Rhinolophus ferrumequinum: one gene and its partners. The protein of the gene in region 1 interacts with the protein of each later gene in a biochemical or structural test. Links are inferred from orthologs where the notes say so. Each region holds a gene or a part of one and is shown in the gene's direction. Other genes may lie near its edges.

The links.
Region 2: of the proteins of CASP3 (region 1) and granzyme B-like, one has a biochemical effect on the other in vitro, tested with the Homo sapiens proteins (2 studies listed by BioGRID). The link is inferred for Rhinolophus ferrumequinum from reciprocal best matches to the Homo sapiens genes CASP3 and GZMB.
Region 3: of the proteins of CASP3 (region 1) and PANX1, one has a biochemical effect on the other in vitro, tested with the Homo sapiens proteins (2 studies listed by IntAct). The link is inferred for Rhinolophus ferrumequinum from reciprocal best matches to the Homo sapiens genes CASP3 and PANX1.
Region 4: of the proteins of CASP3 (region 1) and GSN, one has a biochemical effect on the other in vitro, tested with the Homo sapiens proteins (2 studies listed by BioGRID). The link is inferred for Rhinolophus ferrumequinum from reciprocal best matches to the Homo sapiens genes CASP3 and GSN.

The regions. Positions count from the first base shown.
Region 1 is NC_046287.1:77,146,361-77,153,489, forward strand, and holds the start of CASP3 (caspase-3), read left to right. Parts: upstream 1-4,116; 5' UTR 4,117-4,205; coding exon 4,206-4,217; exon of another isoform or gene 4,218-4,264; intron 4,265-4,939; exon of another isoform or gene 4,940-5,010; coding exon of another isoform or gene 5,011-5,013; intron 5,014-7,129. UniProt on the Homo sapiens protein: Thiol protease that acts as a major effector caspase involved in the execution phase of apoptosis. Following cleavage and activation by initiator caspases (CASP8, CASP9 and/or CASP10), mediates execution of apoptosis by catalyzing cleavage of many proteins.
Region 2 is NC_046289.1:74,677,813-74,685,620, reverse strand, and holds the start of granzyme B-like, read left to right. Parts: upstream 1-4,808; 5' UTR 4,809-4,830; coding exon 4,831-5,020; intron 5,021-5,989; coding exon 5,990-6,137; intron 6,138-6,661; coding exon 6,662-6,797; intron 6,798-7,000; coding exon 7,001-7,261; intron 7,262-7,808. UniProt on the Homo sapiens protein: Abundant protease in the cytosolic granules of cytotoxic T-cells and NK-cells which activates caspase-independent pyroptosis when delivered into the target cell through the immunological synapse. It cleaves after Asp.
Region 3 is NC_046294.1:65,127,647-65,135,196, forward strand, and holds the start of PANX1 (pannexin-1), read left to right. Parts: upstream 1-4,550; 5' UTR 4,551-4,577; coding exon 4,578-4,758; intron 4,759-7,550. UniProt on the Homo sapiens protein: Ion channel involved in a variety of physiological functions such as blood pressure regulation, apoptotic cell clearance and oogenesis.
Region 4 is NC_046295.1:71,655,725-71,663,478, forward strand, and holds the start of GSN (gelsolin), read left to right. Parts: upstream 1-4,754; 5' UTR 4,755-4,796; coding exon 4,797-4,940; intron 4,941-4,995; exon of another isoform or gene 4,996-5,037; coding exon of another isoform or gene 5,038-5,061; intron 5,062-6,449; coding exon 6,450-6,654; intron 6,655-7,397; coding exon 7,398-7,552; intron 7,553-7,754. UniProt on the Homo sapiens protein: Calcium-regulated, actin-modulating protein that binds to the plus (or barbed) ends of actin monomers or filaments, preventing monomer exchange (end-blocking or capping).

The DNA.
Region 1 (7,129 bases):
GGCAATGTCTTTCCAGTACTTGCACTTATCAAGTTGATAAATATTCTCTAGAATTTTAGCAGAAAACTCTGTGACAACACAAACCCACTGGCAAATGATATATACTCCCTGAATGGAAAAATATCCCTAAAAGATTGAGAGGATAGGAATGTCATGACATGGCTAGAAATAAAGGCATATTATCCATAGATTTCAACTATAACAGACTTAAGATTCTTCTCTGTGACACCTAATCCACATGAAAATTATAAATTACAAACCAAGAAACAAATATAATTCTAAGGGTGTCAACATAAATTTCCTAACAGATACACTTACGAAAGGAATGTAATTTCATTCAACTGAAGAGATGGGGCAACTTTTAATACAACTGCTTTAATTTTTCAATACAAAATGATACAGCCCTTTATTGCTAGATTCTGAGTATTCAGTTCACTTTAATCTGCTTCACATAAAGATAAAAATTCCCTACATTTAGATAATCTAATTGGGAGAAACTGACGTTTTTCCTATGAAATTTATTAACTTTTAATAAAGCCCACTGATTAGTTAATGAAGAAAATAAACACAGAATGCAATCAGATGTGAATTTTAGCTCCAGTACCTAATAACTGACTAGGACTAACCATGTGGATCTTCACACTTAATGACGATGACATCAGGAAATTTTTTTTAGATTTTGTAAAAATATTGTTATGACCATGGGAGTGAGTAACTGAGAAAACCATGAATGTCAAGAGAGAGAAAAAGTTCAGTATCTATTATGCTCTCCTGGTCTTTACACAGTTTGAAATTTTTAACAGCTGGATTGAGGGTTAGAGGACAACTGGGGCTTGGAGTGTTCCAGCGGGAGGGCTGAATGACAAAAGCAAAGGAAATGAAGAACAGGAATTCATCTGTATTTCTCAGCCCTTATCCTCCAGAAATGCTTTCAATTCCTGGTGGGGAAAGAGTTCTTTCTTCTCTATAACCATACATCAAAAAACCCTTTCCACATAGGGTCCATAACTACCGATTTTTGGTAACAGTTTCCAAGTTCCAAAGAAAAATATGTATTGTATTTTAAAATAGTAAGCCTATTGTTTATTTCTAAACATTGCGCCAGAATTTTTATTTAACCATGTTTGAAACTGATTTTACAAGTAAAAGGGGTCAGGCTAGAAAAAAGGCTGGCTTTAGTCCTTTCAGAGAGGGGGAGGTGGGGATGGACGTGGAGAGATGACTCAGAAAGCCAACCTAAGTAGCTCTGGTTTCCCTAGGTTTATGCCTAGACTTGCCCAGCTATGACACTTGATAGCCTGACTCCCAGGAGCAGCTGGACTAGGGGGCACATGCTTCGTGATTACTGGCTTCTAGGGAGATCTGAAACCTGCCTTGCCATAGCTCTCTCTAGCCCAGTTCTCTTGGTTTCTTTCTTGTTTTTGTCTAATCACAAGTCAATTCTTATTCCCCAACTCCAGCTTCTCCCTCTGCCCTCTGAATGGATTCATCAGTATTTTGTGTTTTCTTGCATACGTGTTCTAGTTCTAGTATTTAGTAAGGTTCTGTTATTTGGCAAGGTTTTCTTAATCCCTTTTATGGCCTCTTGGAATACAGTTATACTATTTCTCCCACTGCTAAAGTATTCATAATAAAGTATGTGATTAAAATTCATTTACAGTAATATTATTATATAAATGTACATTCCAGATGAATGACACCTTAAAGAATTAAATAAAACGAATTAACTGAATTTTCTTTTTTTCCCCACTTCAGTTCACTTTGCCTCTCTATGCTTGAACAGAAGTAACTCATATTTAAATTTTCCAAAAATCTCCTGTAAGGATAAGACATACTGTTCTTTTCCGGTTGCCCCTTTCTACTATCCCCACAGGATGTCCTATGCAAAAAGCCTAACTCTGCCAGACCAATCACCCCTAAGTCCATTTGCATAACTTTTCCAGGGGCACTCGTGAATGATTCAGAGCGTCACTCAATCCACACTACAGTTTACCTCAGGAAATCCAAACTCTCTCCAGAATCTAGCCCTAAACCACTTGTGCAGTTTATGTCTTACTGTTCAGCCCTCTCACCAAATGAATGATAATGACCAGTCCCCGCACCTGGCCACTCCAAGTGCCCCTCTTTCCTGTTTCTCTCACCTGTAATACCCCACTTCCCTTTCCCAATTTCTTCCCCTTCAAGGGCAAGATCAAGTTCTGACCCCTAAGACCCTTTGTAAAAAGAAATTACTAGGTTAAGAAGACAACTGTTTGTGTCTCCAGCCAACTGTTTGATATAATCAAAGTCTCTCTAGACTAAGTAAATTCGTGTAATTTACACAGAAAAAGAAAACTGCTGCTGTTGCTTTAACTGAAGCATCATTTTGGTAAGACAGTTTAGCACAGGAAGGGGTTTGGGTATCACAGTGGGGTAACAGGACTTGTTCAACTACACCAGCGCCTTCCTTATGAATAACCGCACGTTGAACCACTGTTTGGGTTTGGGAGTAAGTCCCATTCTTCAGTTTTACTGCAGCAAAAAAAAAGGGACTGCCAAACATCCGTCCTCTCTCAACTTGGGAGGGATTAAGAAAGGCCTAAATTTTATTCCTGGGGTCCAAGTTTAACTCCTGTAACTTTTTTTTAATTTTTTTATTGGGAAATATTAGGGGACAGTGTGCCTTTCCAGGGCCCATCAGCTCCAAGTCATTGTCCCTCAATCTAGTTGTGGAGGGCACAGCCCAACCCCCAAGTCCAGTCGCCGGTTTCAATCCTAGTTGCTGCCCATGCGGGAATTGAACCGGCAACTCTGCAGTTGAGAGCTCGGCTATAACCACCCCTGTAACTCTCCTTTTAACAAAAGCAAACGACTTAACCTTTTTAAGCTCGGGTGGGGATTGGAATTCCCACCTCCAGGGGTTGTTGGAAGAATAAAATAAGAAAACGTAGTGTGAAAATGTAAGAGCACAAAATAAACACTCAACAAATGGTAGCCATATACAGAGGGTGCCAAAAAAAAATGTATACACATTCTAAGAAAGGGAAAAAAACTGTATTAAAATTATACTACTATATACTGATAACAAAAGATGAACACAAGTCATGTGTATACATTTTTTGGCACTCCTGGTATATAGCGAGGTATATTTGTGTATAAATTATAGCCCCTGATTTATGCCCCAGTAGGCAAAAGTGTTGGGGGCAGTCTTGTTCTTATCATGGGGTCCCTGACTTGTCAGAATGTTACGAACCTCTTGAAATTTGACGCAGAACTTCGTTGTCAATAGCGTTGGTATATTCAGCGAAAACAATTCTTAGGTCTCATCAGGGTCTGAAAAGAGTTCGTGACCCAAAATAGGCAGGAACGAGTGGGGCAGTTAAGGTTTTTGATTTAGGGACGGGGAACTGGGGGTGACCTAAGGAAAGGCCTCGGGGCGCCCGAGGGGAAGCAGATTTCCAGTGCGGATCGCGGCCCGCTTCCCTTCATCCCCGAGGTCACACTGGGCATCAGGCCCGACCTTGGCTCCCTCTGCTCCGCCCCCCGGGCCCGGGGCGGCCTTCAGGTCCCCGTCCGTTTACCTCCAGAAACCCGCGCAGTAGGCGGAAACCCCTCGGCCTTCAGCAGCTGGCGGAACCCATGACGTGCCCATCGAGACCGGAATCCAGTCTTCAAATTGCGCGCGGGGGCGGGGCGTCCGGGGGCGGGAGGGCGGGGAGCACGCGCGCCTAAGAGAAAGCGGCTGGGGCGACGATCCCGGGCGCGCAGGGAGGGGTGGGAAGGCGGGGAGCCCGGGAGACAGCAGCGGGTCGTTGTCCTGAAGGGGCGGGGGCGGGGCGCACCGGGGCAGCGGGGACGTGTCTGCGGGGAGCGCAGCGCCCGGGACCGAGGGGGCGGGGTCGGCGGGGGCGTGGCCAGGGGGCGGGGCGCCCGGGGCCGCGGGGACGTGTCTGCGGAGAGTGCAGCGCCCAGGACCGAGGGGGCGGGGCCGGGGCGGGGCTAGTGGGGGCGGGGCCTGCTCCCGAGCCCAGCGCTACCCTCGGCGGGCGGCGGAAACCAAGCTTCGCAGAGAGGGGAGAGCTGTTGGCTGTTGTGTGGGGGCTGCTCGGTGAGTGCTGCCCTCGTCCCTTCTCGCCGCGGGGCCGTTAGCTCTGGGCCAGCTCCCTCCATCCTTCCAAGCACAGCACCCTTCCCAGAGACCTGTCCAGACCTGCAGCTGCTCGGGGATGACGGAGGAGGTGGGCACGGTCCGGGCGGAGGATCCTTTGTTCTGCCACGACGACGGGTGCGAGCACGAGCACTGAAGCCAGCGAGCTGGAGACCCGGTCGGGGGTAGTGGGCGGTCGGGCGGGGGGTGTGGAGGCCCGACAGCGGCCGGCGGGGGAGCGGAGACCCTGCTGGAGCTGCGGAGCTCGGAGGACGGGAGGCGGGTCCAAGACCGAGAGGCCAAGCCGGGAGCGTCGAGGCGGCAGGCGGGCGACTGAGCTGGGGATGTGGCGGCCGAGAAGTGGAGACCTGGCTGGAGAGCCAAGCCTGGGGGACAGGAGGCCGAGGCCGGGTAGCAGGAGGCTGGACCCGGGTCGCGGAGCCTGGTGGGGAGGGGCGCGGGCGCTGGGCCCGAGTGTCGAGGCCGGGTAGTAAGAGGTCCGACCCGGGAGCAGGAGGCCACGGATGCTTGGAAAGGGAGGGCGGGCTGAGGTTTGAATCGGGAAGGGAGGAGCTGAGGATCGGCGACGAGAAACGCTGTCTCCAGGGCAGGAGGCGAGTTTGGTGCTTACCGGCAGGCGGTTTCTCGGGGCTGATCCTCCCACTCTTGGGCAAGGGTTTGGTCTCTGCTGCCTTGCCTGTCTCGAGCTTGGATTTTCTCGGGTTGACTGTGTGACTTAGTTTTCTAGAGAGGTAATTTTCAGCATTAAACTCCAATTCCTTTTCAGACCTGAAGCCCTCGGTGAATCCTTCCAGCTCCTTCCTCCCTGTGACTATATATCCAAGGCCAGTCACCTGGGAGCTGCTTTGAAATCCCCCCAGGCCATGGTGAATAAGAGTGCCTTTCTCACTCTTGTTTTCAGTGTGTCGGCCCTCAAGGCAGCTGCCTCTTTCCTTGTTCTCAATAAATGGCACCAAACCAAGAAACCGGAAACGAACCTTCTCACCTACCTCTCCCAGCTCCTTCCTTGGTTAGCCACCAAGCCTCCTTGACCTCCTAAATGTCCACTGCATCTGTTCACTTCTCTCCATAACCGATTTAAATCACCCTAGGCGCTCACCTGGCTGCACCAGCCTCCTCATTGGTCTCCATACTTCCAGACCCTCTGCCCCTCTTCAATCCATTCTTTATAGCACAGGCTTTGCAAAATAAAAATCTGGAAAACTGTTCCTTTGCCCGTATGATAAACCCAGACCCTTAACATGGTTAACAAAGCCAAACACAGATTGGCTCCTTGGTTCCCTCCCCTGCCTTATCTTTTATGATAGCACCCTTTCACTTTCTGCATGGCCATGCTGATCTTAATACCTGGTCTCTGCCTGAAACACTCTTACATTCCCTCTTTCCCCCATCACATCACATTTGCTTGAGGAACGTCTCCTTATGTTTCTGTTGTCATTAAACACTTCAAGGTTAAGTTTTCCTATTATGTTCCTTTTCCATCTGTCATTTCCTAAGAAGGGAAAGTCATACCCTTTGCAGTTGCTTGTTTACTATCTTCCCCACTTGCTTCCCTAAGCAAATTCCATGAGGGACTCTGTTTATCTTGTTCCTTATTGTCTTTCCCCATACCCAGAGCCTGGCACAAGTGAATGCCCACACTACACAATTATCTTTTAATTATTCCCTATCCAGAAAAAATAAACCTGTTTTGGGATTACTTAGCAAATTATAATTAAAAGATGTGGCTTAGAAAGGAACGGTAGAGGTGAATTATGGAATTGCTGAAAAATGTGGATGTGCAGGATAGTAATAGGAGGGGCTTAGCAAGACGGTTAGACCAGACTGTATCAAAATGTGCTCTGCCGGTTTGAATATGTTATAGGCACATAACCTCTAAGAACCAAATGGAAAGCTTAAGTCATTCCTATTATAGCCTGATGATTGAGCTTCGGTATTGGTTTACTCTTGCAAAAAAAGATTTTTCAAATTTATGATTTGTTTTAATGAATGAATGAACAACTTACTGGAGTTTGGCAATAAGACCTGTTCACAGTAAAAAAGACATGAAACATTGTATCTAATTAAATCAGATTTGCTTTTGCTATCCTGAAAAATGGTCTTGCCTCCTGCCCTTTTTTAAAAAAAGACTAACATCTTATCTGATATAAGCATTTACAATGTTTCTTTGCTGTTTTGCTTTCAAACCTAATTTAACACAATCTTCTGCTTCATCCTCCTTCTAGTGCTAGAAAGCAGTCTTTATTTTCATGGATGTCATTAAATCTATTCTGGTGCCTCGTATTAGGTAGTTCTTTAAGCTCTGCCTCAAAGAAGGGAAGCACTGGTGTTTGGTTCTAGAAAAAGAGGTGGGAATTCTTAGACTGTTAGTTATTTTGTTCACATTTAACAAATACAAATGTAATGGAGGGAAATAGGTCCTCTGTAGGCAGACAACCTGAGGCCAAGTCCCAAGGGCTGTCTATACTAACTAGCTCATCCATAAATTAGGCGTAAGTAATTTACATATCTGTTGGGCTTGTGAGTATAAAACGACATAATGTCCGTTACAATGCTTTGTAAATCTCTATGTAATGTTCTTCTCTGCCTATTTTGTTACTGCCTTCAAATTGCTACTAGAGCTTCTGAGTTAGGGTAGAGTAAGATACTTATCTGATACAAATGTAACCCTGTCCAGCCTCTGCCTTAGTTGAGCCACTTTTGAATACCAGTGAGCCTTGGTGAAAGTTCCACATAGGGAAAGTGTCTTTGTCTCTTCCCTTACTTGATGGGCTCAGGATGTACTACCGTACTCTGCGCACAGTTGGTGTTCAGTAAATGACTGGCGCAAATAACAAATAAACTTCTCAGTTTCAAACCTCTGGCAAGCAGGATTTCTTTAATGGGTGGTTGTAAACCTGAATCTGCCTCTACAAAGGAGTGGTTCTTAGTGGGAGGAAAGAGGTCTTGTAGGTTATCGGTAATTTTTATAAAAGGTATCCA
Region 2 (7,808 bases), on another chromosome or scaffold:
GAGATCAGAGAGGGGATGTGACACAAAAATTCTTAGGTGTGAATTAGATTTCCAGACGTAACACGTTGTTACATCTGACCCGAGCTGTGAAATACAAAGACCCACCTGTTCTACAATCATCTACTAGAGGTTCTGGTAAATGATTCAGCAGCATTCCTCTTACCTACCCCAAACAAAACCAATTGCCACATCCCGTACACACATGGTGAGAAAGTGCACACCACTAGCCCCTGAGCAAGATGGGAATAGAAAGAACCATTTGCTGCAGAAGGGTAAGGTATGAGCTTTAGGTCTTGTGGAAACAAAATGCTTTGAGGAAAAGAAATGGCCTTGGTGGGCAGAGTTCCTGGGGAGATAAAGATCCTTAGGTGAGGGAGTTGGGGAGGCGGTTCTTGAGTGTGATCTAAGGTCACATCAAATGCAACATCACAACCCAGAACATCACTCCCTTCCAATTCTCTCCCCCACCCAGAAGATCAGTCAACACCAACTGACTTTTCTGGGCCTGCATTGTTCCACTTCTCCCAGTTCAGTGGGGATGGGTGCACTGTCCTCACCCAAGCCCTCCTCTCTTCCCATTCCTCTGCAGTCATCTTTGCACTCATCACCCCAGACATTTACTCACTCCAGAGCTTTTCTGAGTTACCCCCAATCCAACATCCAGACCTTGTTTTTTGTTGGTGGCTGGGCAACGATTGCTGTAGGCAACAGGGAGAAATCAAGGGGTGTTCTAGCTGATGCCAAAACTGCAAATCTCACAGATGTGCATCTGTCCTATAGACATTTTGTCTCCCCATCCCTGCCCTCTCTCCCCCATCCTTCTACTACAGAGGCCAGGTGGAAGTACGACCCTCACCACTTCTACACGTATCCAGGTTCTCCTTCACTGACAGGTCTCTCTGTCAAAACTGGTTTTGATGTCATGTAAGCACGCCAGAAATTTGACTATCATCCCAGCCTCCTAATAAGAATGCAGAGATAACCCCTAACTGAAGCAGGAATATCTTCTCAACAGCACGACTGAGTCTCATGGTCAAATGAAATGAGCTAGAGCCAAGTTTTGGCCCCTTGTGCTATAGGTTCTGATTTTAGGTATAAATTAAAGAGAATGATCAGGCTCAGAGAATTTGGCTTATAGCGGCAGCCTCAAATGCCATGTATGAGTGCGGCAATGTCATGTGATTGTGCCATTGTCATTGCCTACAAGGAATGGTCCTGCCCACTTCCAATAAGTACTAGATGTGATTCAATGAGAGGCCAAGGCCCAAGGGTATTGTCCCTCATGGGCCGGGCATGACATTCTCCTGCTCTTTGAGGAAGAACAGCAGGGGAATAAAGGATAAGAGCAAAGGGAATGTGATCCAAAGACCTTTTCTATCACAATGTTGTAGCCACTGAGGTACCTTTCTCTTCTAAGAGAACCAGAGTCCCACATTAGAGATATAGACAGAAACTTTTATTCTTCAATACCCACTTAATTTTTCCCCAGATTCCTTGAACAATATAAGAAATGATGGTGTTTATAAATCGGTGGATAAGATCACAGACTATGAAATCACATCTCTGCATTCTAATCTCCATTCTGATGAGCTGAATTATATAGAACAAGGCCCTTTCCTTCTCAGTGTCTTGGCTTTCTCATTTATGAATTGGAAGAAAATCAGTAGCAAGCTTGGAGGGTGGACTGAGGCTCTACGGTCAGTGATCAATACAGAGCCAGCATTGAGATGTTAGATGTTATTTTCTCATTTGTTCAACAAACTAATCATATCTTCTTTTCCAATGTTTATTATTATTAATACACATGTTTATTAATAATGTTTATTATTAATTTTTACTTAGACACAGATTCTTAAATTTATAAGTCTCAAATGGATTTCACCATCTTTTAGTCTGACTGTTTAGTCACATCTAGGAAGAAATGTATTCTCCCCAGTGATGCTTTCTCCAGATTTTTTCTTGGGAAGTTACCTGTTTCACATTCTTTTCCACATGTCTGCACCTCAGTAAACTTTCTTCTACCTTAAATTGGTATTTCTACATCTGGATATGGGAGAACTTTCCTACACAGCTTTGGCCATTTGACTAGCCATTACAGTTTAAAGAAAAATTTCCCTGAACTCCCCCACCCTCTCCATTTTCAGCCTAATCAGCATAGCATATCAAGGTGGCTGTGTTGAGGGCCCCAGCCCAACTCTCAAAGAACCAATCCAAACCGTGAGGGGGGATAGGAATGAGGATTGTGAGAAAGGCCAACATGTCTCCAAAGAAGATATACAAATGAGCAGCAAACACAGAAAAATGTGCTAAATCTCAGGAGTCATTAAGAAAATGTAAATCAAAATCACAATGAGATACCACTTCATACCTACTAGAATGGCTATAATCAAAACATGACAAATAACAAGTGTTGACAAGGATGTGGAGAAATAGAAACACTTGTACATTCCTGGTGGGAATATAAAGTAGTGCAACCACTGCAATAAACAGTTTAGTGATTCCTCAAAAACTTAAACAGAGGATTACCACACGACCCAGCAGGTCCCCCCTAGGTATAATCCCCCCTAGGTATACACGTATATCCAAGGGAAATGAAAACATATCATCCACACAGAAGTCTGTTCACAAATATTTATAGCAGCATTAGTCTCAATAGCCAAAAGGTGCAAACAACCTAAGTGTTTATTAACGGTTAATGGAGAAATTGTGCCATACACATACAATGGAATACAATTTGGCCATAAAAAAAGAAAAAAATACTGATACATGCTACAACTTGGATGAACCTCAAAATCATTATGCTAAGTGAAAGAAGCCAGACACAACAGGTCACATATTGTATGATTCATTTTATATGAACTATCCAGAATATGCAAATCCATAGAGACAGAAAGAAAAATAGTGGTTGCCAGGGGTCAGGGAGGGGGAGGGTGGGAGAGGAGAACGGGAATCGATTCAGTGCCCAAGTTAACCCACAACTTAATGGGTCCACAGCTTAATGGGTATGGACAAAATGTTTTCATGGACTCATGGAAAAGTTTTGAAACTAAAGAGAGGTGGTTGTCGCATGCACTAAATGCCACTTAATTGTACACTTTCAAATAGCTAATTTTATGTTATGTGAATTTCACCTCAATTTTTAATAAAGGTCATAACATAATCTTCCGTTTAGCATAATCCCTTTTTAATTTTAAAAATAAAGATATACATGAGGGTAAAATATATTAGATCATGATATTAAAGATGATTATCAATGAATAATCAGAAATCAGATCATTTTCATTGTTTTCTCTTGATTGAATTATTTTTTTAATTTTCCAATAATTCTAGAAATTAATTCCATGTTCAATTTTTTTAATAACTAGTAAAGAGAGACTGTAGTGGTATTGAATAATAGATTTTTAAGAGCATGGGGGAAATGCTTACATCATAGGGTTAAGTGAGGATGAAAGAAAATTGCACTGTGTACATAAGATGATCCCATGTATTTAAAATGCACTTCCTATGGTAACAGTCTATGTGTGGGAGATAGGCAAATGAGTGATACTTTTCCTTTCTACTCTCCAAATTTTCTTAATGAACATATATTAACACTATAATCAGAGAAGTATTTTTATTTTTAAAATGTCTACTAGGCAAGCTAAGTTCAAAAAAGTAGAGTATGATAAGAACATTTACACTGAAATTATGCATTTTGATACATATTATTCCTCATGGAAAAATTGTAAAGCACAGAAAATGCAAAGATGGAAATTTAAATTACCAGAATCTAACCACTCAGAGATACTTAGTTGTTTTTTGAAGAGAATTGGGCTTGGGCTGTTTAGAAACAAAGGTCCATTACAGTATAGTGAGGTCATCAGCATAATTTGTTTATCAAGTGTGAACCTATTATGTGCCAAGCCTGCTATTTCAGAAGTGTGGCTCTCTGGACAGAGGACAGAGAATACTAACAGGACAATTACTGGCCTTTGGTTGCCCAGCATGCTTTCCCACTTCACGCAGTATTGGCAGTTTAGCAATCTGAACTTCCCATGGGAAACCAGCCCTTTCTGAGTCCTAATTCGAGTGGCTTGAGTGAGACCAACCCCAGCGTGCCCAAAATAGGAATGACGTCGGCTTACGTCAATCAGTGGATTCAATTTGTAGGGCCACAGTGATTCATTACTTTAGGCCAATACACATCAAGTGCAGGACTTTTGTTAAAAATATTGACAGGAGAGATGGACGGTATCGCTCTGAGCTTTTGCAAATTAACAGGAGATTAATTCCTAAATTAACAGAAGAAAACCTGAGATTAACAGATTAACAGGACAAAAATCCCTAGGAAGGAAGCTGTGATGATGAATGAGTTGCTCTATCGGTTTAGTAGACGATGTCCATGCTCTCTTACTGTCGTGGGCATTCCTCAACCATGGCCCTTCCCATTCAGTACTCTGGTCACTGATGTTTCTGTCTCCTCCACCAGCTCTGTAAGGGAAGGAGACACAGCTCCAATACGTTTCATCATAGCACAGAGAAGGGCCTAAGCACACATCTGCAAAAGAAATTATCTTGATGGACTTGGTAGCATGGAAATAAGGCATTCGTGGTTCTATCACTGGGGACTCAGGTTTCAGGGTTCTAGCACGTCTACTGGTCAGTACCACATCCTACAGTCCCCACCTCAGACCCTTGGGTTCCTGCTCTGGGCTGGAACAATTTGTCGGCTCTGAGTCATCAGCTGTGGCTACTGATGTGATCTATGCCTAATTCTCACACAACCACCCAGAAAACGTCATCAGGCAGGAGGTGTGAGGGCGGGGAAGCTTTCATAGAAACCCTTCTAAAATGAAGCACTACAAAACCAGAGAGGAACTTGAGGTCCCTGAGCCCACCTGCACCTCCTTCCTCTCCCGGGGGCTAAAAGACAGCGCGGAGGAACACCAGCGATCCAATCTGGGCAGCTTTCCTGGGAAGATGTGGCCATTCCTGCTCCTGCTTCTGCTGGCCTTTCTACTGCCCCCCAGGGCAGAGGCAGGTGAGTGACAATCTCCACTCTCATTCCCACAGAGGGCGCACAACTTTTGCCCCTTCTGCACATCCCTGACCCATCTATCCACCAGGAATGTGCTGAACCCAAGCTCCTGTCAAATTTCGGACTCCCAAGCATGATGCTGGATAAGCTACCAGCATAAAAGGCAGGGCATAAGGCTGTTCTCAAGAAAATCCAGTGGGTTCTATTTCCTCCCCAGGCCCTACCTTCGCCATCTGGAAAGGGGAACTTTCCTAGAAGTGCATGGCTGAGGATGGAAAACTGGAGAGCAGTACCAGCTTCCATGTCTGGGATGAGACAAGTGCTCTCCTCAGTGTCTGCTTAGGAAGGAAGCCCAGAGCTCAGCACACCCCAAAGTTGCTGGGGTCACTGTCCCCAGAAGACTCCTATTGCCTTAGCTCAGTCCCAAGGTGCCTCATTCCCTTTCTCCAATTCTGCTTTTCTTCCCAGGCCACTAGTGGCTCCCCTCTTTCAAGGATGGGCCACTGAGTTTGGCAACCCCAAACTTCTCTGCTTTCCAGCATCCCACAGCACTACCCCTACCAAACCTCCTCAAGAGGTCCATTGATGGCTTCACGCAGCCAATAAACACTTATTGGGCATAAAACCAGATCCCTAAACTTAAGTCTGGCCACTAGATAGCAGCATAGTCCTGGACTGCACGGGACCACAGAACATCAGAAACTCAATTGAAACCAAGCAATGTCCAGAAATGAATTTTCAGGAGTCTCTAGGACTTTGCTGTCCCAAAGATAGTTATGCTCACCTCCAACTAAGTGTGGAGAAAAACTCATAGACAAAGCCCGCTGCTCTTCCCTTTTGAGAGGAGAAACTTGAGACCCTCCAAGCTCGAGGCCAGCCCAGGCTCCCAAGTCCCCAGCAGTTTAGAGTTAAGTCAATGTCTTCATGGTGGACTCAGTGAGTGCATAGAAGCACAACAAACTTTTCCTTCAGAGGAGATCATCGGAGGACATGAGGCCAAGCCCCACTCTCGCCCCTACATGGCCTACATTCAGTTTGTAGATAAGGGGGAGAAGAAAATATGCGGAGGTGTCCTTGTGCGAGAGAACTTTGTTCTGACGGCAGCTCACTGCAGCGGAAGGTAAGTGGCAGCAGCTAGCCTACCCCCTCCCAGACCCCTAAAGGGTCCCATGTCCTTCCCCGGGGGTTGTAGCCCAGGTGAGCTCCCTGAACTCCTGCTAACTCAAGCCCACAAGAGCTCTTCACAGGAGCCATCTGAGAGCATGACTGGGTGATGAAAAACTGAGAAATAGGACAGGCAAGCTGGCCTCAGAGGGTCAGAGGTGAGACATTGGCACAGTTGAGAAGAGAGGGACCACACTGGCCAAATCCAGCAATGGTGGAAGACGAAAGTCTGCATTAGGGTAAACATGAAACTCAGGCATTGTCATGATACTGCCTGAGGCCAAGAGACAGCTCCCAGAAGCCCTATCCTCAGTGTCCTTGAGAAGCAGAGAGGACACTCAGCTCCTGGCCCTCCTGTTGCCTCAATTTCCCCTAACTGCAGCCCTGTCCCACCTCAGCTGTCACCTACCCTTCGCGGCTCATGGGCGGTATGTCCTGAGACTCCACGCCCCCCACACTCCCACTCTGCTCTCTGTGCAGCTCAATCATTGTCACACTGGGGGCCCACAACATCAAGCAACAGGAGAAGACCCAGCAGGTCTTCCAGGTGACAAAAGCCATCCCCCACCCAGACTATAATCCCAAGAACATCTCCAATGACATCATGTTACTGCAGGTAAGGAAACCTCCTCCTGCGATGGTTCTCCTGGGTCCAGATTGTTTCTCCTCTCACTGTGACCTCTTCCTTCCTTCTTGCCCATCCTGGCCACCTGACCAGTCCCCGCGCCTCAGGGGGGAAGGAAGACAGTGCAGACCCATCGCATGTCCAGGCCCTGGGGTCGCTGGCTGACCTGGGCTGTCTTGCCTCTGCCCCATCAGCTGGAGAGAAATATCAAGCTGACTAAAGCTGTGAAGCCCCTCCGCCTACCCAGGGGCAAGGACTCGGTGAGGCCAGGACAGAAGTGCAGTGTGGCCGGCTGGGGACAGGTCACCCTGATGGGCACTTTAGCAAACACTCTACAGGAAGTGGAGCTGACTGTGCAAGAGGATTGGGAGTGTAAAAGCTACTTACGAAATTATTATGACCCTGCCATTCAAATCTGCGCGGGGAACCCGACAGAAAAGAAGGCTTCCTTTCAGGTGAGATTGAGCTTGGCTAGCTTGGATCTGGGGAGAGGGGTGCTTGGGGAAGGATGGGGACGTGGAGACCCAAGCAGTGGGGAACCCCTCCACCCTCCAGCCTGTGATCCATCTCCCCAGAAAGGCCATGGAGAACAGCCAAGCTGGGGAGAAATAGGGCCTCTGAGCACCAACCAAGGGCTCATGGTCAATCTATACAAGGTCCTCCTGCAGAAGGATGATTCTGCAATACTCTGGCGCACACTGAGGCACAGCGCTTACATAGCTGTGCTCCTGCGGGAGCAGTAGTTGGCACGCACCCTGGATAACGGGCTCGTCCTCCATGCTAGGTGTCACCCAGCCGCCTGCTTTCATGTCCTTACACAGTAGACGAGCCACAGTCCCACAGCACCTGTAAAGGAAGAGCATCCGGGACCTGGGAGAGGAGAGGGAGCTGACACCTGGGGTGAAGTGAAGCTGTGACAATGTCCAAGCTGAGGGTCCCTCAGCAGCCTGCTGCCCTCTGATCTCCCACATGGCAGCCACGCAAGGTGGCCTTCTCTGAGAG
Region 3 (7,550 bases), on another chromosome or scaffold:
AGGAAAGTTAGGTAAAACTTAAGGAAATTGGAATACAGTAGCCTTCAATTAATATTAATGTATCGATATTGGTTCATTAATTGTAACAAAGATACCATACCATTGTAAGATGTTAATACGGGAAACTGGGTGCAGGAGTGGGACCACACGGGAACGCTCTACACCATCTGCTCAATTTTTCTGTAAATCTAAAACTGTTCTAAAAATTAAAGTCTATTAAAAAAACAAAAAAGCAATGTTACATACACTCTTGTGTGACACCTTAAACTCCTGAGGTTGGTAATGACAGCTATCAAGTGCTAAGCGCTCATGATGTGGCAGGCACTGTTACATGTATTATCACATATAATTCTCAGAATAACCCGAGGTAGGCAACATCATCCCTATTTGGCAAATGAGGAAATTGAGGCTTAGGTATTTCCAGTGACACATCCTTGGCCACAGAGCAAGTAAGTGACAAATCCAGGAGTTGGACCTGCTTTCTCTTTTCCTCCCAAAGGACCTTGGCACATGTCAGATTGTTTGAGCTGATTTTTTGCAGTAGGAAAAATGGCTTCCTTAACTATCACTCTCTTCTGTGCCATTCATCTCGGTCCTCAAAGACAGGGCACCAGTTTGGACTCTCATTACTTCTCACGTGCAAAATTTCAACAGCCTCTTACCTGGCCTCTCTACCTCCAGTCTGCGTTCCAATCCATGCTACATGTGACTGGCAGATTAAGTTTTTTAAAGCACGACCCTATTTATATTGCTCCCCTCCAAACACTCCCTAAGGCTTGCTGAAAAAAGGTCCAGACTACCTTCTCTGGCCCCACCCTTTTCATCTTTGACACCCTCACCTTCATCTTCCCTTTTTCAGTGTCTCTACTTCCCATTCCCTGACATGTTCTCTTTCTTGCCTCTACTGCAAATTCAACAAATGTGGATTGACTTCCTGCTACATGTAAAACCCTCTGCCAGGGCTGAGGGCAATTTACACAACTTTAGATTCTGTCCAGCTCTTCAGAGGAATTTGATATGTAATGAGAAAGCAGAGATGCAATCGACCATCACCCAAGGCAAAAGGAGCTAAATGCTAGACCAGAAGACAAAAGTGCTAGGGAGGCAGTGATTCGTCACAACTGAGGGTCCTGGAAAGCTTCTAGAGGAGACATTTGAGCCTGTTGGATGTGTAGCTTTTGACAAGGAGAGAAAGAGTATGGTATCCATGCTTTCACTCACTTCTAGAAAGCTCCTGTCCCAGTTCTGCCTGCCACAAACAGACTGATGCTTCTAGGCCCCACTCTTTGATACACTACCCCACCTAGGCACACCTCACCTTCTACAAAATCACTCACCCTTTCCAACCAGTATTATAGTTAACTGTGTACATGCCTTGTTTCTCTTACCAAGCCCTGAGGTCTTTGAGGAAATGGAATGTGTCCACTTCGTTGTTGCTTCCCACCCATCAAGCCCAGAATAGCCCATCGCTGGCCTCTAATATTTACCTTGAGTGTACAGATAGCGAGTGTAAGTTAGTCTACTTGTTTTTAAACAATTTTCAAGGTGAAACATTTTCAGGTTCCTTCAGACACTTAATAAATATTTATTAAAAGACTACTATGTGCCAGGCATTTGTGCTAAGTGTTAGAGACAAGAGTGGTATACGTGGGCATGGACCTGCCCCCATGAAGCTTACCACATAAAGGGGGTGAAAAACATTAAATAAAACAACAGTTAAACAAACACATGTTGAATTATAGTTGTGATTATCATTAAGAAGGAAAAATAGTGGCCCGGAGGTAGGGAAAGGCGAGGGCTCCCCTCAGGCGGCTCTGTCTTTGACCTGGGGGGTGGGAGCCCTGAGGCCAGGAGGGAAGACACTGACTCCCAAGCACTGTCATTTTGCATCCGAAGAGAGTAGCGGTCAGAACTAAGTATTCAGAAGCCAAGTCATGGATCCACCTGCACTGTAAAGAAAAACCCAAAGTTAAAGAACCAGTCAGGAGAGTTGAGAAGGCCAACCAATCAGCCCAGCAGGAGCTAAAGCAAAGACAAAGAGCACAGATCTATGCCCTCAACAGAGTCCTGACTAAACTGGAGCAGCAGCAGTTTGATGAGTTCTGTACACAAATGCAGCCGCCTGATGAGTGAGCCGCCTAGTGTGCAAAAGAGCTGGGACCCTGGAGTCTGTGAGCTACCAGTTTTAAACTGAGATGGCCCATTTGGAGCCTTACAGAACTAGACAAGACATTTGTGTTATTTCTAAAACTGGATCAATCTGAATTTCCTATATGTAACTTCTGCTTCACTCGTTCCTCCAATCTGCACAGGTTCAATGCCTGCTGAAGAGACTTGTTTTATTCTTTTAAGACAATGGGTTTTTGGGTTTTTTTTTTTTACCTTTTTTTATTATTTAAGAAAAATCAGTGTTTCTTGTGAAACCGCAACTCTTCTCCAAAAACACAAATAAAATACTAATAAAATGTGAAAAAAAGAAGAAACATAGAGGGCAACAATAACAGATAAAAGTTATATTCGTAACACAGTGACCTCATCTAATTTAGTGTACTCAAAGAAGACTTTACTGGGGAAATGACATCCATATGGGTCAGGAAGTTCAATAAGAGTTGGCCAGGCAAAGAGGCTACTGCGGGAGTGTTTTGGGCAGAGGAAGCCCTAGAGGAGGCAAGGAGCCTGACAAACATGAAGAACTGGATGGGAAGTAGTGAAATTAGTGAGGCAGGCAGTGGCCATGCTAAGAAATATGGATTTTATCCTAAATGCAATGTATACTTTAAGAAAGGGAGATGACATGATCAGATTGGAGATTTTATTTTTTTATTAGTTTCACGTGCACAAAACAATGTAACAGTTAATTTTTATTTTATTTTATTTTTTTAGATTGGAGCTTTTAAAAAGTGTGGGAGAGACTGGCTTGCATGCCGAGGGAATACATTCCTGTATGTGGTTAGGAGAGAGGCTGGTGGCCTGAATTGGGGTGTTGGATGTGCAGGTATAGAAAAACTCTCAGATTTTCTATATTTAGGAGAGAGAAGCAAGAGAATTTGGAAGTTGGTTGTGGCAGCTGGCAGACATGGAAGTGTTATAGACGGTGCCCCAGGTTTCGGGCTTGAGATCGGGGGATGGTAATGCATTTAGCAAGATACAGAGGGCAGGAGTTCAGAGTTAGAGGAAGATGAGGATTACAGTTCGGGCCATTATGAGTTTGAAGTCCTGTGAGCCATCCAAGTGGAGAGTTGTGTAGGCGGTGGGATGAGTGCTCAGAGGACAGGCCAGGGTGGAGATGTATTAGGTTGGTGTAAAAGTAATTGTGGTGTTTGCAATTATTTTTAACCCTTTAAACCGCAATTACTTTTGCATCAACTTAATACATGTGAGAGTAGAGGGCATATAGAAGAGGCTCGTGTGCATGGACCTGCCCATGTACAAAGAGCAGAGAATACAGCCATACTGGCCCCAAGGAGTTCTCACGTTTGAAGGTCCTGTCTGCTCCAAATGTTGCTGATTAGAGCATCTCCTGCTTATTTTCTCAGCACCCACTCCCTGTAAATAGTTCAGAGGCAGCTCTTCCCCAGGGGCACCCCTCTATTGGCTCCTAGACCAAGGCTCCCACTGGGAAAGCAGAAGAAAAGCAGACGGAGCAGGGGTGATTGAGGCCTGAGACCTGGTCATTCTAAGGGCTCACCACTGCTGACCCCGCCGCTCCTCGTCTTGAAGAGCTCCTGGAAGGGCTCTTCCACACAAGCTCGGTCCACACCGCTCGATTGGCTTTTATGGCACCCGTCGCTGTTCGAAGCGTTCGAAGCTCCTTTTAACCTGACTATACCATGTAGAAATGTTGGGGATGGGGCATAAAAGGGGGCCATCCTGTTCACTGGGTAAGGGGGTCGCGATCAGAAATGATTTCAAAATCCCGGGTGCCAGGAAGTGGGAGAATGAGGATGGGAGAAAAGCGCGAGCATTTTCAGGGGTACGTCTCTTTGGGATGATCCCTTTGCTGAGGTCGATGCCAGGGTCGCGGGATGCTGCCGCGCCATCCCGGCCCGCGTCACCGCAGTTGCCGGAAACTCCACGCCCCTCGGTCCCCGGTGTCCCTCGTGGTTCCGGAAGAGCGCGGCGGGGCGAGCTAACAGCGCGCGCGCTGGCCGGGAGGCAGCTTCAGCCACCGCGGCGCACTGCAGGGGCCAGGCGGGAAGGAAGCACTTTGTTCCCTCGGTGGTTCTTGCACCTCGGGAGCGCCAGCGCGGCGCGGAGTCCCGGTGGCGCGCGCAGCCGGAGGGACCTGCGTTGGCGGAGCGCGCGGGGGCGGGTCTGCGACAGGCCAGGGGCATAAATAAGAGCGAGCGCGAGAGCTCGTGCGCCCATTTGAGGCAGCTGCGGCATCGCTGGCCGCCGGGCGCGCGAGACACAAAGGCTGCTTGGATGTGGCTGCAACTGGGCAGCCGGCAAAGGGAAAGCGAAAGACACGGGCCCGGCGGGTAAGCGGGTGGCGGCGCCGCGCAGCCCTCCAGACTCGGGCGGTACCCCGGCCTCTCCTCCGGGGCTATCCAGGCCGAGCCCGGCGCGCCGCAGCCATGGCCATCGCACACCTGGCCACCGAGTACGTGTTCTCGGACTACTTGCTGAAGGAGCCCTCGGAGCCCAAGTTCAAGGGGCTGCGACTGGAGCTGGCCTTAGACAAGATGGTCACTTGCATCGCCGTGGGGCTTCCCATGCTGCTTATCTCGCTGGCCTTCGCGCAGGAAATCTCGATCGGTAAGGCCCGGGCCCGGAAGGGCGGGGTGGCCTGAACCCGCGTTATCAGTGGTGCCCGGGTCTGATGAGATGTGATTTTACTTTGGGCCCCTGGCAGTGCTCATTGCTGCGATGGGCATAAACTTTGGGAAGGAAGGTAGCCCCAGTTTTATGACCTGAAGCAGCATCCTTTGTCTGTGTGCTTCATTTGTATCCCGGTGGACTCTGCTCACATCTCTATTCTTCAGTTCTGTTCCCGACACCCCACTGATTGCACTGTGGCTTAGTGTTAATGTTCCACTGTGTATCTGTCACCCTTGCCACCAGATTTGCCCGGAACAATTGTCTCGCCTAATTTCTCCTATACACATGTGTGTGGTCACCTACAATTGTGTACCAGGGAAGATCCTGAATGGCTAAATGGAGGATGTGAAGACAAGTGCTCCGTGACAAGTGTGTTCCTCTTCAGCTGTTCTGACTTTCAGTACAGGAGAGAGTGTTTGTGAGTCAACAGGAAGGAAGTATATGACAGCTCGAGTCAGTTCTGTGGGGGCAAAGAGGGCCAGGCTGGTGGGGCTGGACCTTGGGGAAATCTTATGTGAGAGATTGGGGTGGCCCCAGGCTTTGGAACTTGGGTGGGGTTGGATAAGCAGAGGTGAGACCTTTGCCAAGATTTTGAGATGGCAGAAAATGTTACATATACCTGGAAGGGGAGAGGCAGTGACTGTCCTAGCTGAGACAGGAGGATTACAGGGTTCCAGGAACGTGTTAGTCACTTGGGTCACGTAGAACAGAAGAACACAGACTTAATGGCTTAAAGTGTGAAGTTCTTATGTGAGCAAAGGATGGACCAGTTGAAAACAGCACTTAATAAATAGCCTGATGGTAGCCTGTGGGGTCTGTAAAGGAGAGTGGAGTCAGGGAAGCTGGATATTATAAGATAGGGCATCAGTTGTGGTCTTTGTGTATGGATGGGGGCCAAGAGTGGGAGGGAAAGGATTGAAAGGGGTGATTCTGAGTGATCAAGGAGCAGCAAGCAGCACTTGGGTACCTCATTTTAATAGGCCATGAAGGGCACAGACTGGTCCGAGTTTCAGGAAGGCTGCAGGCCTGCGCGAGTGGAGAATGGTAGTGTTGATGGAAATAGGAAAGTTGAAGGAAGGGTTGCTTAGAAAAGCGTTACAATGAGTTTGATTTTTTTTTTTTTTTGGTTAATCTATGTCACAAAGTTGTTCAACCTGGCAGGAGGTTGCCAACTTACTTGTGGAAAAATGTGTTCAGTTTTCCTTGTCTCTGGGCTGGCATAGCCATGGGGTTCCCATCTGCCTTCCAGATGGCCGAGTGTTAAGGTTTCCGGTAGAAAGGAAAACCACCAAGCAGTGTGGGTCCTGGAGATAATCTCTCCCTTCAGCAAATGTTCCTTGAGTACCAGCTGTGGGCTGGACCCAGTGCTAGGCGCTGAGGACCCAGGTGTAAATGAGGCACGGTCCCTGTCGTGGAGGAGCAACAGTCTTGGGCACCTGATGCCACAAGGGAAGAGTTGGTTACCCTCCATGGTCAAACTTCACTCCTTGCCCACATATTAGAGGGACTCCCGAAGCACCTACATCAGTAATGCTCTAGATAACACCCAAATGGATGGGTTGTTTGAGAGGCATTTGGTTGGTGTTGGGAGTGGATTAACGCAGCAAAGGTCTGACTTGACGCTGTGTGCACAGTACCGCTATGCGTTGAGTGGACATGAAAGGAGTTGGAGGCATGGTCCTCTCCCCACGCTACGGGAGCTACAACAGACATGCTGAGAGGTAATATCATTCAGTTGTGTGTGATTCAGTGGTAAGATGGTGCAGAGCTCTGAGCACCTAGCAGGTGAAGGTTGGCCAGCACTTGGCTGAAGCACTGTTGAGCAGAGTCCAAGGGGAGGACAGATGTGTGGGATGAAGGCAGCAGGACCAGGGGAGACCTAACAGGTTGAATGCACGTTAGATAAAAGCAATGAAAGGGTCTAGAGAGGGGAGGACAGGTATATAAATTAACACCTGGAGTAGGACAGGGGGGTCAAGTCACGCAGCATTTAATTTTGTACAAATTTAATTTTTGTGCAAATGTGCAAACACAAAAACAAGCAAAGCAACAAAAAAGAACAGCAACAACAAAGAGAGAGAGGAGTAATATACGTGGAGCAGGCACTTTTGCCCACCACTTTGGTGAATGAGCACTAGCCCCAAAAGCAGTGTGAGATGGGCCTGCAAACTTCAAACATGGCTCCATCCTCCCTTTCATAAAAAGTGCTTCCTGCCTCTCTGGTACCTGGGATCGTTCTTCATTGTCATATTTGCACATTGCATTATAACCTGTCTGTGTGGCTGCCTCATCTACAAGATGCTTCATCTTCTATTGGTCCCTAGAAGCTGGCCAGTGGGGGAGTGTTGAAGGTTAGGGAGAGAGAATATCCTCATATGGTAAAACATTGGATGTTGTATTAAAGGCTTCTCCTTAGTCTTGGGCCCATTTTCTCACTAGTTTGGCTCACTGGGCTCCTCTCAGAAAAGAGGGACAGAACCTGCCCAGGCCATAGAGACCTATGGGCAGGGCAACAAACTTGACCTTTATTTAAGCTCTGCTGGGTACCAGCATGGTGGCTACAGGTGGAGTCCACTCCATGGAGTTTCTGGCCCCTTCGCCTCCCACAACAGTTTGTATAGGCTCAGTGTGGGAACTGCAGGGAGACAGAGTTCTGTGCCACAGAAAGACGCTCATTTGTCCCCAGATGCCTCGAGGTGGAGCACATTTCACCCTGGGAGGAAGAGAGA
Region 4 (7,754 bases), on another chromosome or scaffold:
AGATAAGAAAACTGAGTCACTTCAAGGAACTGAGTCTCCCAAATTCTAAAACACACATCCTTTCAGGTCCACGGGGGCTCTCCAGACCTCCCTGCAGCCCTGTCCAGTTTCACTGAGTTTTATTACTTGCTTCTTTGTTTACCATTGTCCCAATTAGCAAAATCCTGGGCCAGAGGGGCGGGTGTTCCCAGGAGGACCCAGAGAACAGCAAACAAACTCCAGGAGGCTTCCCATGAGTGGCCAGCTGCTGGGAAATAAAAAACAACTTTGTTTGAGGTGAAGAGAAAAGAACAGGGCGGCGTCTTCCAGCCCTGGCCAAGGCCTTGTGTACACTGTGGCCAGGGGCGGAGGGTGAGGCCGCCTCCTCCAGGCTCTGGTAACTGCCCTGGGACACCAGAGAGACACGGAGACTAGCCTAAGGTCACAGAGGAGGCAGGGCCGAAGCCCGCGGCCATCCTGGGTCCAACTGCAGGGGAGGATCGTGGGCTGTACGGCTTCTTCCTGTGGCAGACACTGAAAAACTGCCTACTTTGTTCATGGTACCGGGTAGGAGCCAGGAACAACCAAGACCAGGGGACCTCTGGAGTCCAGAGAAGGGCAGGGTTGAGGACATGCTCACAGAGCGAGTGGCAGCAGAGCCAGGCTGCCTCTCAACTCACAGTAACCGTGACTGGCCTGAGTGCCCATGAGTGGCCTAGGATGTAAGTGTCACAGGCCATTGTCCATTCAGTGGCCACAGCCTGAGCTTCTTCCTAAGACATGCCTTTGTCCTGGGTGCTCACACAGGTGTGTGGAGGGCAGAGGGCTTTCCCGGTCCAGCCTCCTGCCCTGGCCTGGGGGGTGTGGTGGGGACGGCTGCCCCAGAGACTGCTGGCTGCCAGGCGTGGCTTGCCTTTGGCTGATTTAGCAACTGCAACCCTTTACCTGGAAAGGACACTTGCTCCCTGTCCAGGCTGGATGGTGCCAGGAGGCCCTGCTTCATCTCCCCAGATAGACCTTAGAGACTAGAGCCAGCCACACTTGTGTCTGAATCTCAGGAATGCCTCCTTCCAGCTGAGTGGCCCTGAGCAAGTGACCGAACCTCCCTGAGTCTGTTTCCCCATCTGTAAAATGGGAATTTGAATGTCTATGTACACTGGTTGCTATGAGGAGACTCAGCCTTGGACCCCCCCTCTCCTTTCCTCCCTCTTTTCTCCCAGAGATGTCTGGGCCCAGAGGAGAGGTGGCATGGTGATGGCAATGCCTCCTTCTGCAGGACAGGTGCTGGACTGTCAGATTCAGAAGTACCTGTACAGATGACCTGGTCCAGTACCATTTTACAGATAAGAACCTTGAGGCTCAGAGACATGTAGGTTCTGGATGTGGTTGCACAGCCAGGATCTGGGAATGCTGGAGCTGGAAATAGCATAGGGACCTATCTCATCTTTTGCAATGGAGACCCCGAGGCTCAGAGAGGGGCAGTGACTTGCCCCAAATCACCCAGGAAGTCAGTGGCAGAGCCAGGCCTAGCAGTGGGGCCTCTTCCTTTCTACCTTGGGATCTTTCTCTCACACCCAAGTCCCCCACTCTCCTGAACCCATATATCCTCTTCCAGGCAGGGAGCAGCATAAGACCATGTTGCCCCCATGAAAGGCTCCACACATCTCTACCAAGTAGAGTTTCCAGGCTGTGGGCTTCCGGAGGGCAGGGCCCAGGGCCCATTCACCAGGTCTCCAATGCTGAGGGCCCAGGCTCCAGAGCTACTCAGATGTGGCAGGCAAAGCTGCAAGGCCTTTGTGACCATTAACCTGAGGGCCAGTGACCCTGGGCTGCTTGTCAGACCCCTGGGCCCAAGACCACACCCTCCGTTAATCACCCAGTGGGGAGGTCAGAGCCACAGTGCTCCAAGAAGGGACTGCTGACGTGGGCCAGCTGCCAGCTGCCAGCTCCACTTCGCTCTTGGGGGCTGGGATGACAGGACATTTCTTTTTCCTACTTGTTTGGATTTTCCAAATTCTCTAATGAGCAGGCATCACTATACATTTTGAAAAGGACTTTTTTCTAGATCAGTGTTTCATTAAAAATCATCAATTGCATTGGATACATATTTGTAAATAGTTTCAACTCCCAGAGCAAGTTTTCATTTTTTTTTTATTTTCAGCAAGAGTATTGAGGTATGATTTACATACCATAACAACTCACCCATTGTAAGCATACAGCGCTCCGATTTTTAGTAGATTTTTCAGTTGTGCAGTCATCCCCATAATCCAGGGTAGAATGTTGTCATCACCCTAAAATGTGTCCTCCTGCTGAGTGCAGTGATCGAGGGGCTCACTGCCGCCTCAGGCTATCACGACAGTATCAGAGGTGGAAATTCTCTGTTCTCATCTCTTCCAAGCAAACCACCTTGACAGTTTGGCATTTGTCCTTCTTGACTTTTGAAGGATGTATCCAAACACAGACACCCTTATAAAAAAGGAGAGGAGTCATACTGCAGTCGTACAATTTGCTTTTTTGCCCTTGGACAGCTCTCCGTGCTTGAGTGCCTACTATGTGCCAGGCACAATCACATCTAGCTCATTGTGTTTTCACAGCTGCAGAGAGGTCCATTGTATGGCATCGCCGTAATTTATTTAACCAGGACATTTGGGTCCTTTCCAGTTTTCCTCAAACAATGCTTCAGTGAACATCCTTGCACATGTATTTTTGTGTTCCTTTGTAAGTAATTCTGAAGAAAGTGGATCTGTTGTTGCCTCGTGTGTTTCGAATTTGGATAATCAAATTGCTACCCAGAGAGGTGAAGCCGGTTTATGCTTCCATCAGAGCATATGACAACTGTGGGTTTTCTTTGTTTATTTGTTTGTTTGTTTTACAACTGTGGGGTTTTTATAATCACCCAAATGCCTAAAGAGAGGGAAGAACTGTCTGAATTTAGGCCTGAACTGGCCCACTGCAGGCTCCCTGGGCCAGGGCCTAGACAGGCAGCCCTGAGAACTTGGCATCTCTCTGTGGCTCCCCACAGACACCCAGATATAAAGTTCAGATTCTTCAGTGTAACGCTCGAGCCCTGTGACTCCTGCCGCCCTCTCCCCGCCTCGGCTCCTCTTTTTCCCTGTGTTTCAGACTGGACCCCTCCTTATCCACTGCTTGCGTTCCTTTGCTTGCCCTTTGTCCCTGCTGTTCCTGCCCTGAAAACGCCTTTTCTTCTTAGTCTCCCTCCTCCTTCTCCTTCAACGCCGTGGTCACAAGTTCCTTTCTCTATGAAGTCTTCTTACTCTCCTTCCGATCTGAATCCTCTGTGTGTGTGTGTTCCCTTACCCCTTTATCTGTCCCACAGACCCACTTCGGTAGAAAGAAGTTGTGGAGGGCCGAGGTCCAATTGCCACTGATTAGATAGAAGCTGGGGCTCCAGGAGGGGCTGGGACAGGGGACCATAGCTGTGGGGAAGGGGACGGGAACTCCCGTTTACCTGGTTGCAGGCCAGGCCATTTTCACACATACACAGAGATTGATTTAGTCCTCAGCAGCTACTGTACCCATTTAGTAGATGAGGAGACAGTCATAGAAAAGGAAAGTAACTTACACACAGTGGTGGGAGTCAGAGCTAGGTCTCCAACTCCCCATTTCTCTTTCCTGACGTCCCTCCAGGCTTTTGGGAGACGGGGAGATCTGGGATGCAAAGAGAACTTGGACATAGATGAGCAGTGTGATGGGAGGGAGGAGAGAGGGATTGGCAGGATTAAGAGAGTCTGAAGAGTCCTTCTCCTAATGCAGTGACTCTGCCTCACGAGTGGGAGGGTGGAGGAACGGGAAGGGAGCCTGTGAGTGGGGACAAGGCTTAAAACCTTGTCTTCCCAGGGGGAGCCAATAGATAGGACCTAGAACTGGAAAAACAAAACAAAACACAAAAACCAAAACAAAAACAACTACAAGATGCAACAGGTTTTGTTATTTAAGACATGAAGGTAAACACTGAAATCATCAGCTAAAGGGGGTAGATAGAAGTGGTTGCCCCTGGGGAGAAGTAACTCTGTACAAATATGTGACTTTAATCTTTGATAAAAAATAAGTTTTAAAAAATGAAAACTGTTGAAAAATAAAAAAGAAAGGCAGTCTTGAATGCTGTAGAAGAACCTGCAACTGCAGGAGTGGAGAGGTCTGCCGGACACCCCCTCCCGCCACACCCCCCCCCCCCCCCCCCCCCCCCCCGCTAAGTTCTGTTTACTCCCGGTCCAGTCTGCCCCTAGCTCCTGGGAGTTGGGCCACCCAGACTGATTGGGTTCAAATCTTGGCTGCACCATGTCCCGGTGTGCAGGTGGCCGGGCTATTCGCGGCAGTTTCCCCCCTCTGTAAAATGGGCCTGCCGATATACCCACTCTGTAAAGGATGTCATGTGTCAACCCTCGTATGAGGCGTGGTGAACCTACAATAAGTCCTGGAGACGTTAGGTGCAGATTGGGTTGGGGTCTTGCGTGGGTCTCACAGGACGCTGAGCTGGGCTCCCTGCCGTTCGTGAATTCTCCCATTTAGCATCCATAGACTTAGCGCCTGCTGTATGCCAGCCCCTGTGCTTGGGCTCTGCCCTGGAGCTGGGGTGAAGGGGCGGCCACGCCCAGTGGGTTTGGTCCGATGGGAACCCCGATGTCTCCAAAATCCAGGCCAGATCCCCGCCCCTCCCGGCCCCGCTGGGGCCCAACCCTGCCCCGCGCCCTCCCTGCAGGGCGTTCCCGGCTTGGATGCGATGGGCGGGTGGCTACTTAAAGTGAGCGACCCGAAGGCGGTGGCTGCTGACTGGGTCTTCTGCTGCCATCGCCGCCATGGCTCCGCACCGCTCTGCGCCCGCCCTGCTTGGCGCGCTGGTCTTGGCGCTGTGCGTGCTGTCGCCGCCGGCCCGTGCGGCCACCGCGTCGCGGGGGGCGGCCCAGACACCCGCATCCCAGGGCCGGGCGTCCGAGGCGCGGGTGAGTGTCCAGGGGGACCGGGGGTTCCCAGAGTAACTCTCTATTGTAAGTTCTTGCAGATACAGCGCTAGGAAAAGGGGAGTAATTCAGGTCTAGAATGGATAAACTGTTTTGTTGCTTTGTAAGTATCTCTTGCTGCTTCCCGGGCTCCCGTTGATGGGGGTGGGAGCCTCGGGGACCTGGCTGTTAACCTCCCTAGAGGCTAACCTCACCTTGGCCGGATTTCTTTTCCCTTGCCGCCTTCTGATGTCTTATCCATCCCTGCTGCCTGATTTCTCCTTTTCCTCATCTGGTTTTTCCTTCCCTCTGCCTGATTTCTCTTCTTCCCTCTTCTTATTGCTTCCATTTCAGATTCCTCTTTCTCATCTGATATTTCCCTCCCTCTCCAATATTTTCTCCCTTTGTTTTGTATGATGTCACCTCTGTGTGCTTATTGTTGTTACTCTTATTTATTCTCCCCTCTCTGATCTCTCCTCTGCCCTGTCTGGTTTTTCCTCTTCTCTCCTGTTTCCTTTTTGCGTTTCTTCACCCCTCTGCCTGAGTTCTCCTTGTCCGGTTTCTCTGACTTCTCCCATCAGGTCTGTCCTCCGGCCAGGTGACCTGTGCCTGCTGATTTCTGCCCTTTGGCCTCAGGCTAACCGTCTCACTCTGCTCCATCTCTAGCCCCGTGCATGTCTGATGGCCTTTCCCCCATTCCTGACCTCCTTATCTCCAACAGGCTCCTGCAGACCCCAGCTGCATCCTCTCTGCCTTTTCTAAGAAATGGGACTTGGGGATGGGGTATTGGGGGGCAGAAGGGAGGAGGCAGACAGCGCAGGAGGCCACTTGGGCTAAGTCATTTAGGCCCTTCTTGGGGATGTGATGGGGACATGGACAGGGCATGGGATATCTTCCCATTTCCAAAGAGCAAAAACAAACAGGCTGTGTGACCGTGGGCCAGTCCCCTCCCCACTTTGGGCCTCAGTTTCCCCATCTGCAGAATGGGGTTGGATGAGGAGCTCTCTGAAGACCCTTCTAGTTCTAAGAGTCACTGAGGATACTGGAAGGGAACAATGCTGAGCTCCTGGGGACCCCCAGCTTTACCACTGCCATCCGAGGGGCTCTTTTCATGGTCCCAGAGCTCGTGCTCTTGGAGCTTGGGGCAATCCCTGCCATGCCATTTTCTGGCTGGGGGTCCTTGGCAGAGTCACTTCACCTCTCTGTGCCTCAGCTGTCCCATCCAATTGGCACTAAGAAGGGAAGGAGAAGGGAGCTGGAGCCCTTTGTCTCCCCATGATTGGAGAACTGATTACTCTCTGGCCAAGGGCAGGGTTTGGAGCCTAAACTCTTCCCTGTTTGCTCACCCCTTGAGACAGGGGTTGTAGAAGGGGTTAGACTTGCCTCGGGGGTGGGGAGAGTCAGAGGCTCAAGTGGGATGCTCTTGGTGCTGGAAACCACCCTCCCTCATGCCCGGGGTCTCTCCCCGCCAGGGCCCCCACCCCTGCTCAGGCTCCGCCCTGTCTCTTCCAGCCCGGCAGCATGGTGGTGGAACACCCCGAGTTCCTCAAGGCCGGAAAGGTGCCTGGTCTGCAGATCTGGCGTGTGGAGAAGTTCGACCTGGTACCTGTACCCCCCAACCTTTACGGAAACTTCTACACAGGCGATGCCTATGTCATCCTGAAGACAGTGCAGCTGCGGAATGGGAACCTGCAGTACGACCTGCACTACTGGCTGGGTGAGGCCCGCCCCCACCCCAGGCCCCACTCCCATAAAGCACAGACCTTTGAGGCATGGTCCCCAGGGGGACGCCCATGGGAGCTAAGTGACTACTGAGCATCAAGTAGGTCCCAGGCCCTTGGCTGGTGATTATGTGTCCCCAAACTCTAGCGCCAGCCTGCCCGAGTTCAGAGCCCAGCCCTGCCCTTTGGAAAGGCACTCAGTCCCTCTGGAAAGGGGACATGATGGTGGCAGTGCCACACTACCTCGAAGGGGTGTTGGGAGGGGTAAACGAGTTAGTGTAGCACTCAGAATTGGGGGTGACTTGGGGACCCTGGACCTGCTCCACAGCTTCCCTGGCCCGTCTCCAGCCATGCCTCAGTTTACCCTTCAGAGTTGGGAGCCTGGAGTCCCTGCCACAGCTCTGTAGTGTGACTGTAAGTCCTGCGCCTGCTGAGCGTCCGTTTCCTAATGTGTGAATTGAGCCCACGCTCCCAGGCCTGACATCACGCTCAGGAGGGCTGAGAGGGAGTGCAGGGCAATGAGGGAGAGAGGTGAGCGGAGGGGAACGTGTTAGAGCTGAGAGGACTCAGAGACCATGGAGTCCGGCCCCCGCCTCCCCCATTATGTAGATGGATTAACTGAGGGGCTTGCCCAGTTTGTACAGCCAGGCCTGCTCCGTGCTGGGGGCTCCAGAGTCCTCCACAGGAGGCTGGGACTACTCTCCGGAAGCCAGGCTTACGCTGCTCGAATGTCGCCTAGGCAATGAGTGTACCCAGGATGAGAGTGGAGCAGCTGCCATCTTCACCGTGCAGCTGGACGACTACCTGAACGGTCGGGCCGTGCAACACCGCGAGGTCCAGGGCTTCGAGTCGGCCACGTTCCTCGGCTACTTCAAGTCTGGCCTCAAATACCAGGTGGGTCCTGGGCGGCAGGGACAAATGCACCAATGGCAGGATACATTCAGGTCCACCCATCTTTCAGTCCTGTGGGGAGATGTCAGAAGACAGGTCAGAGCTCAGCCTTTGGCATTGGCCAGCCCTGGGTTTGAATCCTGGACCCTTCCTAGCTGTGTGACCTTGGACAAATCACAATTCCTCTGTGAGCCTCTGGTTCCTT